2 linked regions of the Styela clava genome follow. The protein of the gene in region 2 interacts with the protein of the main gene of each other region in a pairwise test. Links are inferred from orthologs where the notes say so. Each region holds a gene or a part of one and is shown on either strand. Other genes may lie near its edges.

Region 1 (8,132 bases), on a different chromosome or scaffold from region 2:
CTTCTGAACTACTTGCATGCGTTCTTACCTCCTTTGCTAATGATTCTCTGGCAAATGGGATTAGACATGCCATGTCGACACCATAAACTTCATCCATATCATTCCAAAAATTAACTTTTTCCACCATCACCTCATCATCGCATACAGGTGCAACAAAGATAGTGGCATGATCTGGCAACATTAAACCTCCGGGCTTCAACCATTTATCTCTGGCCCATATGACGGATGACAACATTGATTCATAAAGCAAACAGTATCCCATCCATTCACTGACGATGATATCAACTTTTTCTGGCAAATTTACTTCTTCCATAACACCATGAATAACTTGGACACGGTCTTGCAATCCATTGTGCTCAACTACCTGTTTAAGGATAGGAATATTCTTTTATAACCCTGGGAAGAGGAAAGCTGATATGACGACCTAATGGCAAACCATAGCCTCTCGTTCGGTTACCAGTCCATTTCGGCTATGGGATTAGTTAGCCAGTTATTTGTTTTCAGATGCATGGGCTTGATTGTGGAGGAAGCCACAACCACCAACCGGTTATGTGAACCCCCCTTGTGAGTGAGCAGTGAGAAAACCAACAATCCTCTCGCGAACCCACGCAAGGCAAGTGTATTCCTAATACTTAGCACGATGCGCCACACCGCATACTAGCTGTTTTTATTGGAATAGTTTATTTTGAAATACGAAAGATGAGAAACCAAATTCATATACGAACATAATAGGCTACTAAATTTTGCTGTCATAGCTATAATGCAAGATGCACAAGTAAATCTTGCTGGAATTTATGGCCATTCGAATTATATCAAAATGCGACATTAAGATACCAGCATAGACAAAGATATTAACGATGATTTTTAGATGGTAGACCTAATAAATCTAAGAACAATATACCCCAGATTTAGCTGGTCTTACAGCTGAACAGCTCAAAGATATAAGCTATAGAATGTGTGATTGAAAAATCTGGTTGGAATTTATACTATATATATACGATATACTATTATAACACTAACATCAAACAACTGACTTTCAAATACTTACAGAATGAGTAAAAATAAGATTTGTAAATAATATGAATCAAAAAATGTTTAACATTTTCACACCTTTTCTGCCTGCTTGGCAATTTTGCTGGCTTCAACTGCATAAACTTTTGCTGCACCAACTTGAGCACAGAAACAACTTAGAATACCAGTGCCAGCACCAACATCTAGTACTACCTGAAAAATGAAATAGATAAAGTTATTTTATTATTACAAAAGGAATTCTATTTTCTCTAGAAATACAGAGAGTTTTTATGAACATGGTGTGAGCATAATAACGGTTCTACAAAATAGAAAACTTTATTGCCATACAAATGTCTCCTTTCACTGCTGAAAATCAGAATCGTTCCAACCAGGGGTTGGAGGTTTTTGTGCAAGGGAGGAGGAGAGAATCTATTTTGCATAGGGACGCATTAAGAAAAGCATTTAATTCACAACTTACATTGTTGAAAATCGCATTAATATTATTTCAATAATTCACATTTGAGATATTTTAAATACAACTGAAATTCAAAAATGAATCTAAATTTTGTATGTAGTGGTAAGAAATATCCTAATTTTCCCCAAAAGCAAAGGGCGCGAAAATTGCTCCGGGTCATAGTTTGCGCATCCCTGATTTAAACTTATAACCTAAAATGAATAAATGCCAATGCTGCAATCTTCCATGAGGCAGGTTAGTATAAATGTTCATACAAAGTTGGGTTGTGCATAAATAAATTTGATCCCGAAGTTCACATATGCAACTCGAGTGAATATAATGCAATGTCTGGCACTCAATATGGTTCTAGACAAAAAAGGCAAACTTAAAAACATTCACACATAGAAAAACTATCAAATAATGTGCCGGTCAAAAATTGAAATGGGTGAAACATATAACATGAAATGTAGTGCTGGGATCCCATTGTGCGTAAGAAGAGCACACATAAAACATCTCACATAAAAAACATGTACATGTCACATCATGTCCAAACACAATTAACTCTAGTGAAAATTTTGCTGCCGTTTCATTTTCAATACAAGATTGCAAATGAGGCCTCAAAGAAGTTTCTGCAACTTGTTGCTCTGCAGCGGCGTGTAGCCGATTTCTTTGCTTCGTTTTAATTAAAGCTAGTGATGAAAATGTTTTTTTCGCATAATGCAGTAACTGGTTGAAAATACACACAACAGTTTGATTGCTCGATTGCTTAGCAATGGGTATTTATTATCAAGAGATATCCAAAATTGTGACAGTGATTCTTTTTTAAGTCTGGACTGTAAAGTCAAATCACAATTTTAATCAAGCGTTTTCTTTTTTATCGGGTTCATCAAAGCCGGGGCCGAATAAGCTAAAAATGTGATTACTCTGCACCAAGATGACGCAAAAGACGTCGCAAGTTGTCACGAAAGACTTCGCAATACTGCTAGTGCAATATGACGGCAGAAGAGAAATTGCGTAATAAACCAACGCAACCTCGTCTTCGGTGAAGCGATTGAGTCGGCATAAAAACAACAAAAGAACGAGACTTCTCGCGAAATGGCGATTGGGAACCACTGTCATATACCATACTTCTGTACTTGAATTGGGAACTGACATGTCACAACAGTACCAGGTTGCAGCAACGTACAAAGACACAACATGCAAACTTCTGGATTTGTGCAATTTTTAAACTTGAACAATCAAAAAATTAGTCTCACACAGTTCAGTTGGGCAATGGCTAAATCATTAAATACCTGTAAATCCAACCCTTTCTGGTGATTTATATTTAATGGCATGGCAGAATCGTGTCACATGTCCTGACTGCCTGATGCAGTGCAGCAGTGATGTGTTACCGGTAAGCAGTAAATATTACAGAATTACCTTTCCACTTATTGCATCTCTACATGAAAATATTGCTTTTTTGTATGCATTAGTTCGTTCACCATCACCAAGCATTTCCTCGTGGACAGAAATATCGCAATACGATTCAAAATATGATTTTTCTTTCATAGAGTGAAGTCTTGGGCGTTTCGCTTTGTCAGCCATGTTATTAATCGATAATCGTCGAATCAAAGATTTAATAAGCATTACACATCACTGCAAAAACTGAAAAAAATAAGTGTAAGTTGGTGTTACTCGGATATCAAAGAAATACTACTTCTATCGAACACCATGAACTACAGACAATACAAACAAGAGCCTATGAAATTAGTATTACTTTAGATAAGATAATGCAGCACGCCAGACATCGCTGCAATCTCGCCAGCAAGTAGCTCACGCTGTGTTTAGCATTTGGCCTACTCCGGAGGTTCTCGACATTTTCACTTGGCGGTTCGCAACAACGGTAATTGATAATTGAATGAGCACTAGGCCTACTGTATTAATGTCGTATTCCTCGCAATAATACATCCGAGGATTTACCGCTACTTCGGTAAAAGGACTGATTTTTATTGATACGATTACCCACAATTGCCACAATATTAAATTAAAGTCGCGTAATAATTTTATGATACTGCGTTTGGTCAGTATATATTTACGGTTTGGTGCTCATTGTGCAGCAAATTGCAGGTTTATGATGTCACAATGAGTTCGGTAACAGTTGAGTAGGGATGGCCCCCGATTGTTGTTTGGATGGCCAGGTTGGCCACGTGTATGGTGGCCCATCGTTGTCACGCGTAAAATTGAAAATAAAAATAAAAAATAAAAAACCGAAAATAAAAAAATTGTTGTAAAAAAACATAAAAATAATTAAAAAAAAAAATAAAAAAATAAAATGAAAATTAAAAAAAAATAAATAAATAAAAACGAAAAAAAAAAACAAAAAAATAAATTAAAAAAAAAAAAAAATTAAAAAAAAAAAAATTGAATAAAAAGAAAATAAAAAGGTTGACAACGATGGTCCGCCTCGTGGCCCATCGTTGTCACGCGTTTTTATTTTTAGAAAATTTGCTTCTGCTTGGGACCAACGTTGTCAGGCATAATCCTACGCGCACAAATGTGTTCCGCGGGTTTCAAACTCACTACTGATTTTCTTGAGCAATTTTCAATATGAAAATGTTCTATAAATTCTCCATGCTACAAGTTCAACAAGAACTAATATATTTATAATAATGATAAGAGAATATAGAATTGAATACGAAAATTCGGAAAATTTGTTTTTAACGTGTATAAGGTAATTTAATTGGCGAATGCTGCTTAACTACTCAGTTGTCTGGACACTCGCGATGCCGGTACCGTCTTACCAAATACCGGTAGTCGGTTATAGTCGCTTTGCGTCTGACCGTACCGGTAGCCATACAATCACTCATGAAAGAATGGGAGATACGGATAGTCTCGTAGAATATAGAATACTGAAACACTCTCTGCGCCTGCCCCATACCGTACAGCCGTAACGTACCGATCCAGACAAATGATAAATCGCCCGTGCTCAACCATTTATTTCAATCCATACCTCGATCCTAGTAGAATATAGTGAGTCGAGGTATGGATTGAAATAAATGGTTGAGCACGGGCGATTTATCATTTGTCTGGATCGGTACGTTACGGCTGTACGGTATGGGGCAGGCGCAGAGAGTGTTTCAGTAGACTACATTCTATCGAGACTATCCGTATCTCCCATTCTTTCACGAGTGATTGCATGGGTACCGGTACGGTCAGACGGTACCGTACCGGCATCGCACGAGTGTCTGAGCAGTTAAGCAGCATTTTCCAATTAAATATCTTCTACACGTAAAAACAAATTTTCGTATCCAATTCTATATTCTCGTATCATTATTATAAATATATTGCTTGTGGTTGAAGTTGTAGCATGGAGAATTTATAGAACATTTTCATGTTGAATTTATTGGATATTGCTCATGAAAATCAGTAGTGAGTTAGAAACCCAGGAAACACATTTGTGCGTGTAGGATTAAGCCTGACAACGTTGGTCCCAAGCAGCACCAAATTTTCCAAAAATAAAAACGCGTGACAACGATGGGCCACGAGGCGGACCATCGTTGTCAACCTTTTTATTTTCTTTTTATCCAATTTTTTTATTTTTTTTTTTTTTCAATTTTTTTTTTAATTTCAATTTTTTTTTTTATTTCTTTTTTTTCAATTATTTTCATGTTTTTTCATAACTATTTTTTTATTTTCGCTTTTTCATTTTATTTTTTCATTTTTTGTTAAATTTTACACGTGACAACGATGGGCCACCATACACGTGCAATAAAAAAACATGGTAGATTTAGCGTTTAAACAGCGGTAAATGTGACATGTTTTAAATCTTCAGGAACTACCTTGTTTCCCCGGAAATAAGATAAATATTTCAATTTTGTTCCAAAAAATAACACTAGGGCTTATGGACCTTTCCCCGAGCATCGACTTCCTTGTTTACTTCGTGACATTGGCCAATCAGCAAATTGCAAAAAGTGACGTAACAATGCTCCCTTTTCGCATCCGGTCAGAGTGAGACACTTTTCTCACTCAGACAGATTTTCAAGCGTGGTCGTAAACATTACCTCGTTTTCGCATTTTTGAACTCTATTCGTTAGTTTTCAGTTGTGTTTTGGAAACTTAAATGTAAATCAGATAATTAAATGGTCACCCTGTCTTCCTAGGAGTTTTATTTTAATTGCAGTAATAAAAATCAGTGTAGAAATAGCTGTGATAGACTAGGCTAAAATTCTTTATCGGTAATTTTAAAAAACAGATTGTTGTATGCGATGAATCATAATGATGGTTTGAAACACATATCCCATTTCACAGGCGCCAACTCGCAAAAGCACTCTTAACATAGCCCCGAAAATTTTGCATTGGTTAAGTCAGCGATTCCCAAACTCTCCGCCCAACACTAGTGTTCCGCGAGCGTCTTCCGAGTGTTCCGTGGAGAAGAAATCAAAAATATCGCCATTGCGATCTAGAAATCGTGTAGTTGTCGCCAAACTGACCGTTCAATATCGCGTTATCGTCGGCCTAAAGCAGACTAACTGAGGTAGAGTAGTGGCATTTTCGTGACCGTCGTCGTAGCTTTTTGACTGTTAAGTTTACATAGACTTACCATACGTCCCGCCGTTTTAGGCGGGACAGTCCCACTTTTTAACGTTTTGTCCGGGCGTCCCGACCGGTCAGCCAAAAGTCCCGCTTTGGCGTTCACCCAGTCAGCATGATACATGAACATCACCAATTAGCATGTTCTCGATACTGTTGTTGCCGTGTGGTGTACCGGTGGTAGCATACTTACTGAAGGTGGATGCGTGGTTTTGTTTGTTTCGTTGTTTTCCGCTAACATTATTAGCGGTTAATTGCTACAATAGTTACGTGTAAGCCCCATACGTCAAAAGAGCGCTTAACGTAAAGTCCTTTCTATTTATTGAATTGAAACCGATTTTTAGACAGACACCACATGCACTCTCGATGACAATATAGTTACTGAAGACAGCCGGGATGGTTTTAAATGTGTGCCTAATGTAAAATCGGTAAATTTAAAGTTGAAAAAAAAAACACATCTATGGCCTTTGGAGGCGTCCCGCTTTGAGGTCACAAAAAATATGGTAACCCCAAGTTTACAGCAATCATTTTGGTTTTGTTATAAGCAAACAAGTAGGTCTAAAGAAAAAAGGCAAAAGGCCAACTCTTCTTCCTCCGTCGCTGCCTGGTTTTACTATGAAATGCTGAAAAATTACTCATGTTCGCTAAATTCAATTCAGCAGATAAATAAACTGCAGCTCGCGAAATTGCAGCAAGTAGGCTACTTTTATATTTCCCTAGAGGTAACATTGGAGGCAAACACTACGTAATGAAAAGTAAACGACATAGACAGGTAAAAAATTGTGAATTGGTGAATTTATTGATTCATATACACAGCTCTTAAATTAGGAAACAATAAAACATTTATAATAAATGCAATATGTAAAATATTCAATCATATTTCAGGTATGTTTAACCGTAGTAGTATATATTTACGGTTTAACACAATTCTGTTAGTTTTCGCGGCGCATTTGGCAACTCGTCACGGCGAACCCATTGGGAACCGCTACATTACACCGTTTTTCTTTATCAATTTTAGCTTTCCATTTTTTGGTGTTCCGTGAGGCGAGATAAAAAGTCTAAGTGTTCCGTGGCCGAAAAAGTTTGGGAAACGCTGGGTTAAGTATAGGAAGAGTTTTTCGGGGGTCAAAGGTCCATTTTCGGGTGATATCTTATATTTTTATTTATCAAAAACGAAATTAAAAGGTAGAGAATTACGAGATTTTCAAATATACAAACTATGAAAACCGATATCCATTTACTTACAAATAACACGTTCTTAGTCAAAACAATTTTAAAATATAGATTATCAATCATTTAAAACGTGTAGGAGCAATGACATTAAACAGACTAGGTCTTATTTTAAGCGGAGGGCTTATATTAAAATCATTTTTAAAAATTAGGCTAGGTCCTATTTTCAGGAAAGGTCTTATTTTCGGGGAAACACGGTATATAAAATGGGTGCCGAAAGCGCAAAACACTTCGCCATATTTTTTCAAATTTTAGTGTTTGAATATTCTCTGACACAACTTTATGTGGCGACTTTATCTTAGCTATCTTGGTATCCCAGGCTAAAAGATTCTCTTACTCAAAGTTGTATCAACTATCCGATTCAATAGTACTGGATTCAACGATACCTCACAAATATGTTTACGGTTCATTGAAAAAAAAAAAAACAGGCCCGACTCAATTAGTTTTATCATCGAGAACTGCAGTCACTCTACCTTGTTCGTTTGCTTTCGGACGAAAAAGGTAAGGCTTTTTTCGAAAAAACATCCGCTCATATAAAAGATTCGCCGAAAAGACAAACGCCATATCATTGATGCTTTTCAGTTGTTGGGTTACTATGGATACAAATGGTACGAAACGTTCAGTTGAGTCTCGCTTCCGATCAAAGAAAAATGTCAAAATTACTGTCGTGGTGAAGGATAAACAATGTTCAATCTATACAAAAAGGATGTACAGTATGATTCCACCTTGTTCGCCGAGATACAAAACAGAACAAACAAAAACTATACAGCACGCAACAAAGTCTTTCAAGTGGGAACAAAATACTTCAAATTGGGATAGTATCTTCCGTATGCTGCATGGCACGTCAAAATTAGCCACAATAGAAGAA
Region 2 (7,367 bases):
GATAATAATTAATTGTTGTAATAAAATACGGTTTGTTTGCAATGAATTAGGTTGTGCAAAAGTGAGAATACCTGTGATAATAATAAGGCGTAACGTGGAACGGGCAAGGGCGAGAAAACCCAAAGCGTATTACCCGTGCATCTTTTACAACAATGTGAGGTGCTCCGAAGGTGGGTCTCGTGTACATTATTGTAAGAAAACAGTTATAATATCGGTAACTGTTAACCATCCATTTTGAATACAAGGTATGTTGTATTAACAAGAATAGTATTTCCCTTATCTGATCTTCTATGTTTTTTTTATCTATAGCTAAAGCTATTTTATAGCTAAATGGCTACAAGAGTAGGAAATGTTCATGTTTCGTGATAGGTGTGCCGCGAATATTTAAAAAGCTTGATAGTGTGCCGCGACAAAAAAACCACTGTTCTAACCTATAACACACTATTTACCACACTACCTGCATGTAACGAAAGACCTTTAACACTGACCGATCCATTGTCTCCTTCAACTATTGTCATACTTTGGATGTCATAATATGCTGAAAAAAAAAATTGTTACCTGATAACTGAAGCTTTTGCAAAAACAGAAATTTGGTTTACTGGTTCATATACTAAACTACACCAAGAGGGGGGCTAATGTTTTGCATGATAAAATTCTATATTTTAGTAGCTTAGTATTCTTAAATTTGTACAACTGCTTTCAAATTCAATTTTTCCACATCATAGTCTATAACTCAGTCTATCCTATCCCAGTATGCATATTCAATACATATGCCACTGTTAGTTTAAAGTCATTTATGCTTTTACATAGATATAACATAATTTACCTAAAATAGAGCAATATAATACTGCTACAACAATGAATTTTATATAAAAAGGTGATATATGCAACTTTGTTTCATAAATTTGTTCGTAAATAAGCCTAATTATAAAATTCAATGCGAAACTAACCAGATGATCCAGAGGCAGGTAATGTTGATAGAAGATCAAACATGTTTTCATTATATATTTCAAGATAAGATATTCTTACAGTGACAACATTGTCAACTTGCTCTTCTATTTCTTTGAAAACCTTGACAGGAAATAAATGATAAACAAGAGTTGATTCATCTTGAAATATTTAACATTTTGAAATTTCCCATTTGATATTTGGTTTATTTCATAACCAATCATCAATCAAGTATTTACTGAGTTAAGAAGCATTTTTCCAAACCAAATAAGATCATCAGTTCACTCTAACCTGAGATATAGCTCGTGGTATGATTCCTCTTTGTTTGAAGTTTTCAGTGGCACCAGTAATAGTAAAAGTTTTTCCTGCACCAGTTTGTCCATACGCCATCAAAGTACCATTATATCCATTCAAAGATCTTGTAACCATCTTGGAAGCAACTTCATCATAGACCTGTTGGATTGTGTATGTAAACATTGAGTTTGGTACATTATTTTATTTGTTAATCTGATAGCATCTATTATCCTCAACAGTAGCTTCCCATGTACAGTACAAATTTATTATTTTTTAACATTTTTTCATTTCTGAATTTTCCTTTCATCTTATTTTTATGCATGGATGTCTATCACCTGACTCAAGGTGAAAAACTTAGATAGGCCATAACCAGCTATAGTCATAGTCAAGTTTATTTTTTCCCATTCAGTAAAAAATAACATACAAAATTAACAAAATACAAAACTGAAAACACATTTTTACTGAGGAAGGGAAGTCGCGGGGAAACCAGGAATGGTTATCGAGCAGCGACACCCGATAATATACGCCATCAGCTACTTTAAAAATAAAAGTATTACAATTGTTTTTAAACCTTAGGAGCTCCTTGAATATCATTGACTTTTTGTCTGTGGCCTTACATAAAAAGGAGTTCAGCCAGATAAAAATTTATCTAAGAATTTTAGACCGATTACCAAATTACTGATAAGAGCTATTATCAATATGAAGACGCAGATGGCAAGTGCATGACATGAAAAAAAGCTGTATAATGTTTTCTCAGAAAAATAATTATTAGAGATAAAAGGTTTTACTACTTACTGAATAGAGTGCGAAGAGCGCCAAACAGCGCAGAAGAGAGGGAAAGAGCGCGAAACAGCGCAGGAGAGATGGAAACATTGTTCTTTCATTATTTATTAGCGTCCGTGAAATTTTAAACAATTTGATGGGAAACAGTATACAGTATTATACAGTACAGGGTATTATAATGCTATAATCATGGAGATTAATAGAAATACCTGATCTTGGTTGGCATTGTGTAAAATTCCATCAACTTTAAATGACCAATCTAACAACTGATTATCCACAATTTTTTCTTTTTCATCTCTCTGTGTGTGAACCTTGATGGTCTAAATAAAAACAAATAAATATTAGTCAATTGGAGCAAAACGCATATACTAAATTCTTGCATAAAAATATAACAGCCCTCTAAAGTGACCAAAATTTCAGTAATAATTTTAATTCAGATTGAATTCAGTCATGATCCACATGATCTAAGAGGAGAATTTTTTGTTTTATCATTTGTGATAAATTTTAGAATTTTTCTCCACACTTGAACCGCAATAAGCTGCATAAAATAACTTCCACAATAACAATGAAATTGTTAATTATCTGAAAAAGGATTTAGTGCATAACATTGCAAAGCTGCATAACATACGTTTATTCGTTCAGAGTTTGAAAATAATGGCATTTTCGTTTTTAAATGCTGTTTATCAGTGAGTAGAAGATGCATGTAATCTGCTGGTCTGCCTGCCTGACGAAACATGAAAGGAGATGAGATACATCGTTTTACAAAACTTCGAATAAGCATTTGATATTATTATAATTCTGTAATTCCACAAACCTTTCCATCTTGAAGAAAATCAATCATTCCATGAGCAAAATTGGGAGTTGGTCTGGTTCTTACGAAAATTCTAACTCGATTATTTTTGGACATGTTATTGTTCAGTTAAATGTATTCAAATCATACCAAAAAGCTTGTAGTTTTACGACAATAATGAGCACTCCTACAGTACAGAAGCGCAGCAAGTAGTAGAGCCAAACCAAAGCCGCACACGTTGCTATGTGTTGCTATGCCGGGTCGAAGAGGGTCATTGATCCGCTAGGTTTTCGGACCAAGGTGAACATAAACACTACATGTGCTTGGATCACAGAGAATGATAAGAGAATGTTGACCCTCTATACTTGGATAGGATTTATTCGTTTAGAAATATTTATTGCCGGGGAGCAACTCACATTTATATGTTTGCTTGGATGGAATAGTACGGAATGTAGTTTTGTTGACATCAAGAGATAATTTATTAACCAACATCCAGCTATGAATGTTGAGCAATTCTCGGTTTGCAACTGTCATTTGTTGTTCCAAGTTTTTCCCAAACAAAATCAAATCAGTGGCATCAGCAAACATGGTTGACTCAAAAGAGTCCAGATACGTAATCATGTCGTTTAGGTAGACTAGAAAGAATAATAGGCCCTGGTAAAGATCCTTAAGAAACTACTTGCCTCGTGACACAAATATTGGTAGAGAATGAATTGTCACATTGCACAACTTATTTTCTTTCTTACAATACAGCAATACAATTTTATTTTGATCTTTTGTCTACAACTTGACAACACAGAACACAAAATAAAAACACATTCAAGGGCGACGGAAAGATCGGGAAAATGGGCAAAACCTCGAGAAAGGTTTATAGCGAACGCTGCAAGCGTTTGTGCCCATTTACCCACACTGACACAAGTGGAAAACACATCACAGCAATTATACTGAAAATTAATAAACGACATGTACATAAACACGAGAAAGTAAAATTCACGGGCAAAGCTTACTTGTAGAATTTGCAGGTAGCTCCTTATCCAATTGAAACGAACCCCTCTAATTCCATAATGAAGCTTATTTAAAAGGATAGAATGATCATTGGTGTCAGCTTTTAAAATATCAAGAAATATAACAATAGCATGTTGCTTTCCTTCAAACGCCTTGGTTGGTTTATGTACAAGTCATTAGCAGCCATAGCATTGGAGTGTTGCTTGTGGAAACCGAACTGATGCGAGTAGAATATACTATGGCTTTCGGAATAATTTGACATTCTGCTATGCATTATTTTTTCAAGAATTTCTGAAAACGAATGAAAAAGTTGCCAGGATCTGAAACGTCACTCTTTTTAAAAAGGGGAAAAATTTTGGCTGTCTTGAAACTTTTTATGAATATTCCACTAGATCAGTGGTTTTCAACCTTTTTTCTGTCGTGGGCATTTTTGTTGCACAGAAATTCCGTGGTCCATTAACTTTTCCATGATAGGGTAAAACTACAAGAAAAAAAAATATTCTTCCCGCAATATAAACAATTTCACTTTAATGATAATATAAATTACCACTCAGTAGCAAACAACAGAAGCATCATTTATTGCAATCAAAATTTAATTATAGTGACACAAATGAAAGTAAATTTATCGATAACTCTTGCAATTTTCAATAGGATTGTGGTCCACCTGAAAATGTTTCTGCGGCCTAGCAGTGAGCCATGGCCCACTGTTTGAGAACCGGTGCACGAAATAGTGAGGTTGAATATAAATGTCAAGATATCAATGATTTGTTATAACATATTTCAAATGGAATACTATCGATTCCAAAACTTGACCTGGAATTCATTTGGCGTATGATATTTTTTTTATTTTTAAAGATGTAGTGCAGGGGTGTGCAAAGTGCGGCCCGCGGGCCAAATGCGGCCCGCAAGGGAAAATGGTGCGGCCCGCGGAAAAGTGCCAATTTTGAATGGTGTCCAGCTAGCGAAATGAGTTTTTAATTTATTTCAATCTGGTTCCCTTTGCGTGGCAAAGCTTATATTCGAGTCCAATTTATTTTTTACGGCCCAGGGTGGTCCAAACTGCGGCCCGCTGACACATTCCGTGCGGCCCACAGAACAATTTTAGCATACACTATCAAACCATTGGCAGATATTTATATTTATTAGCGGAACAATTTTGATTTATTTTCAAACTATTCCAACTGGGAATAGTCCGTTTTCTAATCCCTATGTCAGGACTGACGTTTGTGTCTACATGTATATGGGAATGACGTCCTGTGATCGGTAAAAAGAGAATGAATTGTCTTGTGCATGCAGGCAGGACCTAGCCGATGAGATGAGCTCGCGTCAAGTAACTCCTCATTTGAAATGACGTTTTGTGCCTTTATTTTAGTCAAAACACTCCTCTATTTTCAAGTGTTGGCCATGTGACAGCAGTGACGAACCATAATAGAGAGCCTATGTTAAATGAAAGTGCGGGCCGCATTTACCCAGTTATCGATATCTAGCCCGCCCCTGGAAAAAGGTTGCACACCACTGATGTAGTTGGTCTTAAAACATGGATGAAAATTCTTGCTTTCCAAGATATGAAGGGAGATTTTTGTCACAGCTAGCTGGTTGTGACAAATTGTTAAGTAAGCTTTGTGCCACTTGGGAAAAGTGTTCTTCAAATTTATTTGCGCATGATATATTTTCTTAATGATGTAGTCGATTGATTTTATTTACCAATTAGTTCACTAATTGTCTTCCACACTTCCTTGATGTTGCCTTTGTGAGAGGCAAATTTAGACACATATATATTTGAGTTTTTTATAAAATAGGTATTTATGTAATGCTGCGCACCTGATTGTTAACTCAGATTTAAGAATTCCGAAACCTATAAAAATGGAGATTTAGCATGATATGCACATTTGTGCAATTGTTTCGTCATAATGAATTATCATTGGTACCGCCGGACTATTGTGACGTCACAAAGGCAAAATAACCTCGTCGAAGTATTTTCGAGTTTTTGCATCTCGGATTCTAGCTTAGCGCGTATTTATTTGAATCTATACTGCAGTATAGGAAGACGTGCATTTGTGATATTCACTGTCCGAGTCCAATTTACCTTGGTTGGCTTTTATATTGAGTGCATTGCTGTTTTATTCTTTATATTTAATCTTAGTCTTATTTGGTGGGTGTGCAGAACGTGTTATATTGATTAAATATATATTTTTAAACATAAAAAAATAATGTAATTGAAACGTATTAGCCATTTTGGGGATTAGACATTGTAGATACAGAGAATTACATTCGTTTTTGGAATGTTTAGTTTTCAGGACTGGTACATATAGTAAAGTTGCAAAATTGCGTATGTCCCCAAGTCATAGACACAATTCTGCATAAGTCACAGTGCGCCATTATGACGTCACCTAACTGCGTCATACAAATTAACTTAAATCCGGCTACGATCAAAAAATTGAACCATGGCAAATTCTTGACTCTCAATGGCATAACAATATCATTAGGAAGTTTTTTACGTTTTTGTCAAAACTGCTAAAAATGACTTACGCAATTCGAATATATTTTAATTTGATTTCTTTTTGTAGAGTAGTTTATCCGAGAATAATAGGCCAGGCTATTGTGACGTCACAAAGGCAAAATAACCTTGTCGAAGTATTTTCGAGTTTTTGCATCTCGGATTCTAGCTTAGCGTGTCGTGTCTCGATAGCCAAATTTGGTTCCCCGCGTCTTCCCTTCCCCAGTAAAAATGTGTGTTAAATTTTGTTTATTTTTTGATTTTGTATGTTATTTTTTTGCTGGTGGAAAAAATAAAATTGACTATGACTGTGCATAATATCAACGAATAAGCTGGTAATAATATTATTAACAATAGAGATATGCTCAAATATATGGACACGTAGCGCCACCCAGTGGCAATAATTTTGATGATGTCATAGCGAAAAAAAAGTAATAACCTTCTGGAGAAAAATTTTATCTTTAACCACTGAAAATATCAAAGCAATTGGTCCAGTATTCGAAGAGAAAAGCGATTTTTTAAAAATGGAGACGGAGACAAATAACAATAACAACAAGAGAGCTATGCTCAAATATATGGACACGTAGAGTCACATAATTTTGATGACGTCATAGCGAAAAAAAAAGTAATAGCCTTCTGGAGAGAAATTTTATCTTTAACCACTGAAAATTTCAAAGCAATTGGTCCAGTATTCGAAGAGAAAAGCGACTTTTCAAAAACGTGTCAAAGAACAACAACAACAACATAATATTGAAACGATCGTTATGTCCACTACGTGTCCAATAACAACAAAATTTTGAAACGATCGTTATGGCCACTAAACGTGTCCAATAAACTTATACTGCGGTGCGGTAATTTACTCCAAATTTCGCGTAGCAAGAATTTGCAGAATCAAAACGCACAACCAGTCACCACGCGGACTAAAATCTGTGTCTCCATGAATAAAAATAATACCGCAAAATTTTTGATGCAATATCGGATTGCATAAAATTCGTACGAAATTTAGAAATAAATAAAAGTAATAGCTTCTCAAAGAAAAATTTATTATTT

The links.
Region 1: the proteins of kinesin-like protein KIF9 (region 2) and protein arginine N-methyltransferase 6-like interact in a two-hybrid assay, tested with the Homo sapiens proteins (2 studies listed by BioGRID and IntAct). The link is inferred for Styela clava from reciprocal best matches to the Homo sapiens genes KIF9 and PRMT6.

The regions. Positions count from the first base shown.
Region 1 is NC_135256.1:13,906,020-13,914,151, forward strand, and holds the start of protein arginine N-methyltransferase 6-like, read right to left. Parts: upstream 3,115-8,132; 5' UTR 3,092-3,114; coding exon 2,885-3,091; intron 1,225-2,884; coding exon 1,111-1,224; intron 365-1,110; coding exon 29-364; intron 1-28. UniProt on the Homo sapiens protein: Arginine methyltransferase that can catalyze the formation of both omega-N monomethylarginine (MMA) and asymmetrical dimethylarginine (aDMA), with a strong preference for the formation of aDMA.
Region 2 is NC_135250.1:15,179,183-15,186,549, reverse strand, and holds the start of kinesin-like protein KIF9, read right to left. Parts: upstream 3,066-7,367; 5' UTR 2,933-3,065; coding exon 2,840-2,932; intron 2,346-2,839; coding exon 2,235-2,345; intron 1,402-2,234; coding exon 1,240-1,401; intron 1,072-1,239; coding exon 951-1,071; intron 539-950; coding exon 458-538; intron 260-457; exon of another isoform or gene 249-259; intron 1-248. UniProt on the Homo sapiens protein: Essential for normal male fertility and for progressive motility of spermatozoa.